Linked DNA regions of Drosophila melanogaster. The protein of the gene in region 2 purifies or fractionates together with the protein of the main gene of each other region. This does not show direct contact. Each region holds a gene or a part of one and is shown on either strand. Other genes may lie near its edges. The genes, in order: CG30458 and Polr2H.

The links.
Region 1: the proteins of Polr2H (region 2) and CG30458 purify together in Drosophila melanogaster (affinity purification with mass spectrometry, with the first as the bait; one large-scale study listed by BioGRID). This does not show direct contact.

The regions. Positions count from the first base shown.
Region 1 is NT_033778.4:17,157,626-17,160,734, reverse strand, and holds CG30458 (uncharacterized protein), read left to right. Parts: upstream 1-1,696; 5' UTR 1,697-1,752; coding exon 1,753-1,755; intron 1,756-1,855; coding exon 1,856-2,290; 3' UTR 2,291-2,410; downstream 2,411-3,109. Other genes in the region: CG30457 (uncharacterized protein), read left to right, coding at 15-581; CG17287 (uncharacterized protein), read left to right, coding at 2,545-3,109.
Region 2 is NT_037436.4:21,726,861-21,730,318, forward strand, and holds Polr2H (RNA polymerase II, I and III subunit H), read left to right. Parts: upstream 1-2,071; 5' UTR 2,072-2,256; intron 2,257-2,327; 5' UTR 2,328-2,332; coding exon 2,333-2,782; 3' UTR 2,783-2,834; downstream 2,835-3,458. Other genes in the region: CG14570 (uncharacterized protein), read right to left, coding at 2,882-3,458.

The DNA.
Region 1 (3,109 bases), on a different chromosome or scaffold from region 2:
AAATTATTGTGCAGAAATTCCTGGTTGTCGCCGTCGCCCTCTTGGCCGTTGCCCACGCCGATGTGTCCCACCTGTCGGGCTACAACTATGCTCCCGTCAGCATCCCACAGCCGGCTCCATTGCCCGTGGCCGCGCCCGCTCCCATCAAGGTTGCGCCCGCTCCCGTGAACACCTACATTCCCCCCGCACCCGCACCAGCTCCCGTCCAGATTGAAGTTCCCGCTCCAGCACCCGCTCCAGTGGCCATTCCCGCTCCTGCTCCCATCAAGGTTGCCCCCGCTCCAGTGAACACCTACATTCCCCCCGCACCCGTTCAGGTTGAGATTCCCGCCCCAGCTCCCGCTCCAGTTGCCATCCCTGCTCCAGCTCCCATCAAGGTTGCTCCCGCACCCGTGAACACCTACATTCCCCCCGCACCCGTGAGCATCCCAGCCCCAGCTCCTCTGCCCGTCAAGGTCGCCCCAGCTCCCGCTCCCGTTCCCGTCCTGGCTCCTCAGCCCGTTCTGGAGGAGATCGAGCCCGTGTCCGCCGATGGCTACCGTTACAAGACCGTCCGCCGTGTGATCCGTCGCCGTTACTAGAGAGCTACTCCATCGATGATCTCCGCCAGGAGAAAAATTATTAAATAAAATAAAAAAAAGTTACTATCTAAACTTTCACTGTGTTTGTCTTATAATTTAACAATTTGTATAAAAACAATTCCTTATCCTTTATTTTTTCTGTATAGCAGTTTAGAATAACCTTTATAGGTACTCTAAAGATGAAGATAGAAATGTGCTCGATTACCAGACATATAATATCCAAAACTGTGATGCATATTCTAAAGAATAAAATAATAGGCGTACAATGTAAAAAAAAAGTAAATAAATATAATTAAACTAGAAATCAAAACACATATCCAACCACTTTTTTTTAGATACATTTCAATCTTTTTGGCGAGCACATCTTTTACTACTTATTTGCACCCACCGAAAACGTGTTCAACGTCTGCCAGCCAAATGATGCGACGTAGAAATACTATAAACTATTTTATTAGCCAGGTGTTCGAAAAAGTCAGAGTCAGTATCCGGACCTGAGTAATTAATTAAGCTTCGCCAGACATTTTCAAGATCAACATAATCTAAACAAATTGAAATTAATTTTGGCATAAACTTGAAACGACTCCATAGGCCCGGCCCCAGGCTAATATTTCGCCCAGCTCAAAAAGCAGAAACAAGGGAATTGAAAACGAAAAAAATAATCCAAAAGAAATAAAATAATTATTAAAACATAAACCCAAGCCAATCTTGCGTGTGGCCCACGACCATTCATCAAAATAAAAACATAATGGCTAAAAAACAAATTAAACCATTATACAGCGTGCAACAATAGGTTTGTTTGATCTAATTAAAGAAGCTTTTGCAGTATCTGAGGACTGAAGACAAAAAGTTGGCCCAAGTCAAAGCAGCGATAATGCGATTTTGGATACCAAAACCTGAAACCAAAGCCAAACGAAACGAAACGAAACCAGAAAACCCGTCAAACCGCCTTGGCATTGGAGGCTCGTTGTCGTGTGTTCGGTATCGCTTGTCTTCCGACTTTTTTGAGTGAGGTGAAGACCCCCATGTATCATGGGGGCATCATGCAATTAATTTGGCTCCGGTTGACCCGCAGCCCCAAAAAACAATGAGCTATAAAAACCGTAGTCACACTTCGAGTTCAGCAGCACAAATCAACTTGTGATCCAAGCAGCAACAAGCCCATCTCCTCAAGATGGTAAGTTCAGGGATTACACTACCTAAAGGATAATCGGCAAAATATATATGCTAAAATTTGATTGAAAAAAATATCTAAACCATATGTATTTCCATCCTAGAAATTCCTTATCATTGCCGTCGCCTTCTTGGCCTGCGCCTACGCTGATGTTTCCGAGCCGGCTGCCGGAGGATACGATTACCCCCAGCCCGCTCCACCGGCGCCTGTGAAGAGCTACATTCCCCCACCGCCACCACCACCCCCACCAGCACCCAAGAACACCTACATTCCTCCCCCGGCTGCTCCTGCCAAGGCCTACATCCCACCCCCACCACCACCACCACCACCGGCGCCAAAGAACACCTACATCCCTCCAGCACCGGCTCCAGTTGCTCCCGTGGAGACCTACATCCCTCCCGCAGCCCCAGCCCCCGCCTACATCCCACCCGCTCCTGTCCAGGCCGAGGAGCCCATCATCGAGGAGATCGAGCAGCCAGCCCAGGACGGCTACCGCTACAAGACCGTCCGTCGCCGCGTCTTCCGTCACCGCAACTAAGTCTGTGTCCCCCAATTGTTGACTAATGTGATAGGCCCCAGGCAATGTTCACCTTGCCCAGGTATCAGTTAATGTTTTCTTTAAAGATGGATGTGAAGAGTAAATAAATAATCAAAAAGCACAACAGTCTCTATTACGTATAAATCAAAAGACAGTAGGCTGACAAAAAGGGCTCAAAAATACAAGTTATGCAACATGTTCCCGCAAAGAAATCAAAACACGACTCTCACCGGACGTGGAGGATCCCTTCCAGAATGTGCCCGATTGGGGAAGGCCATAGAAGAGTGCCCTGTTGCGCGGTCAGATGGCTTCCTGCTCTAATAATTCTGGGCTTTTTGGTATGGTCCTACCACGTATTTGTTTACCAAATCTGCATAAAGAAAGTTTCGGACTACTTGACCATTGGACTGTTGCTCTTTTTCTACCATCTACTGTTGTTCATGTTTCTATGGACATGGTTTCGGTGCATTTTCGTAGCTCCAGTTAGGATTCCCGATCAATGGAAAATATCACCCGAGGATGTCGACAAATTGAAGCGAAACGATGGAATAGAGGGAGCATCTCGAGTCTTAAATTATGCAGCTAGAAATTTACCCATTGCCACGTGCACCATCGATGGACTAGTGAGATATTGCAAGACTTGCTGGATTATTAAGCCGGATAGAGCTCATCACTGTCGAACCTGCCACATGTGCGTCCTGAAAATGGACCACCACTGTCCTTGGATAGTGAACTGCGTGCACTTTCACAACTTCAAGTACTTCATACTCTTCCTGTTTTACGCTGAAGTATATTGCTTTTATCTGTTCTGCGTAATGG
Region 2 (3,458 bases):
GTATTCGTATTTTTTGGTTCGATTGCTACTTCTAGGATAGTTCCCATTCACCTTTGGTTTGGATTAGTTCAGATGGGCTGCAAAAAAAGTTAAGAGCTGTTTTAATTCTCCACTCGCCGAGCGCCACGTTCCGAAGCAGACGGAGAATCAAAAACACAGACAGAAATAGTAACCGCAAGTGAAGCCGAAACAGAAACAAGAAGAGAAACAGCAACGGAACAGAAACTCCAGCTGTGTCAACAGTGATAAGACCTATGCACAGGAAAAATATTACCAAAATTGGTGGATTTGCATATTTAGGGGCTTCGAAAAGCATGGCACTTTTTACGTTAATGCAATAGTTCTTACTATTTTTGCAGTGTTGTCGAAATCACTTGAGATTTTTAGACGTTGTTTATCATAATTAATTAATTAATTGCAATTCATTGGCTATCCAATTAGAAAATATATTCGTTTCTTTACAAATCTAGTTAACAACGGAAGGTTGTGGACTGTTTTTCACGGTGTACAGAGCTAGGAGCCCAAGTCTTGAAGTGGGTCGCATTATCAATTGACATTTCCAGCGAACGTAAGCTTCCAAAAAAAATTCTTAGTTTGTTGTCTTAATCTTTTGTTTGGGCGGGAGCGAGATGGAGAAACCGCCTGATAAGATCCCGAGGAAGGCAACAACTGATAAGCAATCCACCGCTTTCACTAAAATCACGGTAGAGCTATAAAAAGATATCGAGATAAAGCTGTGCAACCTGAGCGTTTTCGATCCCGCGGCGTCTGTTCTCCGAGGCGGCGGAGTTTCCAATGAAAAGCGAGAACACTGAAAATGCAACTGCAAGAGAGCGATTACGATGACCCTGGGCTGGGACGAACATCTGGCAAGCAGATTGGGAACCCTCCGATTCCGATTCCAGTGCCAAGCAACCCCCTCCCCCTGCGGAGGGTTAATGGTTCATTAGAGCCGCACCCGCAGAAGCTGAAAACTAACTCACTTTAGCAGCACAACGGCCCTCGACCAAACTGTTGAAAAAGCGAATTTAAGCTAGAATCCGCAGCTGGGAATCGAAATTGAAAGAGAACAGGGCAAAAAGCACGAACGACAGCGAAAATCACACACAAAAAGCGAAAATAAAGAAGTGAATACATAACAGCAGTTTTGTAATGCTAAATAGGCGGGGTTATGGGGGTGGGTAAGGGTTAAGGCGGCGGCGGTCGCTGGATGAGGGTAGGGGCCGTTGAAGTCTTTCGTATTCGGGGCACAAAACTCGACGACTGTGTAGTTTTCGGGGTCTTGCAACCGATTGTTAGTAATTAATGAACCAGCACCACAGCACTCATATACGTAAAGCAATCCATTATACACATATGCTACACATTTGGCCCAGGGGCTCCACATTCAACACCAACACCAAAGCCCCACCGGGCGTGGACTTACCTTCGCAAAAAGCAGGAGTCGCTAGGCTAAGGGCCTTCGATCCACAGGAAACTTAGCATCACCCCGAATGGGACACACCTGGACTTCCTATGCATTCCGCGTCCGACTATGAGTTCGCTTCTTATTTGTTTTTAATTTCGACACCACGAGCTGTGTGTACATACTTTTTGCAATCCGCTAGGTGGCAGTCCGACTGGCTCCTCAAGGTGTATCCATCGTGCTGCCTGCGGCTTAACCTTTGTGGGACTTTGCGGGTTTGCCGATTCTAAGCCAATACTGCGTTTTGTCCAGCAAAATAAATAACAGTTTTCGGTGGTTTTTCGATGTTGTTCTTAATGTTAGTGATGTGTATTCACCGATAGACGGTCACACTGGGACTCTCTGTCTGCGCGGCCACAGATGGGAGCGTGATGCACAGTCACTAGTTAGAGAAAATCCAATAACGTGTAGGTTGCGGCGCAATAAGTTATAAATAAGTTAAAAATCACATTGCGCAGTATCACTGCAATATTTATTGAAATTTCAGTAAGAACAAAGTGAGGCACACTTTGTTGAACGTGACTTCTTTTACACACTGAAATCACAGCCTGCTGAACGTGACCACTTTGCTCACTGAAATCGCAGACGTGTGGCAACACTCAAGCCGCCAGAAAGATCTGGCATCTCTCATACTTAACACGCGCATGCAAAATATTTAAGAAATAAATATTAGTCGCTAACAGTTTAAATATAATAAAATTCTGCTGATATAAACCCAGTTCATAAAAGAACACGCATTTACCTCCGCATATAAGATCAAATACGTATAAAATCTAATTAGCCGACTCAAGGTAAGGCGTGCGTTTTTGGAGCTCCACTAAACTGACTTCAAAGCAATAACTCATCAAATACTACATTTCAGTTAAAATGGCTGGAGTACTCTTTGAGGACATCTTCAACGTAAAGGACATGGATCCGGAGGGCAAAAAGTTCGACCGTGTATCCCGCCTGCACTGCGAGTCCGAGTCGTTTAAGATGGACCTCATCCTGGACATCAACTCGTGGCTATACCCCATGGAGCTGGGCGACAAGTTCCGCCTGGTTTTGGCCACCACCCTGCGCGAGGATGGTTGCCCGGACAGCGGGGAGTACAATCCAATGGAGCACGAGGGAACGCGGGCGGACAGCTTTGAGTACGTGATGTACGGCAAGATCTACAGGATCGAGGGCGACGAAGCACACAATGAGGCCTCCCGGCTCTCCGCCTACGTGTCATTCGGCGGCTTGCTGATGCGACTTCAGGGTGACGCCAACAATCTTCATGGCTTCGAGGTGGACCAGCACATGTACCTGCTGATGAAGCGGCTGGCCTTCTGAATTTTCTACCTAATTATTTTCGATCGCAAATTAGACATAGACAACAAACTTTATTTACAGTGTATTCATGACATTGCTTGGAGTGCTGAAAGAAGTAGTCTATTGCCTGGATGGGCGTCTGAAAGGCGCATTGACTATCAGGCGAGATGGCCGTGGGCGAAAAGGAATGTGGCGATCCACGAAGGGCAAAGCCTGCGGAGTCGATGGGAACACTGGAGTAGGCCTAATAGCATTCACAATCTTGACCGCATCTGGCCGACGACGAACCGTAAGCTTAGCCGGCCGTCGCTGCGGAGTCCGCAGAACCGGACGCTGCGGGCGGAAGGCAGAAAGTCGGTTCAGAAGCGGCAGAACATACTGAGCCTGGGGTGGTAGCGGCAGACTTGCCAAATTAATTATAGCTGCGCTTTGTGGCAATGTGTTGGAGCTGTCATCATTGGCTGGCTGGTCTGGAGGTCCGTAGGTCTGATCGGGAGGTCCATAAATTTGGTCCGGTGGGCCGTAGACCTCAGCTGGCGCTTCCACCAAAGACGGTGGTCCGTATGTTTCAGGTGGAGGGCCATATGTATCCTCCGGTTGAGGAAATTCAACCGCCTCCTCCGTTGGCAGGTCGAATGGCGGATCGGGGACCAGGCCTGCTGGTGGATATGGGGCTTGTTCCTGTCTTTGCAGAAAC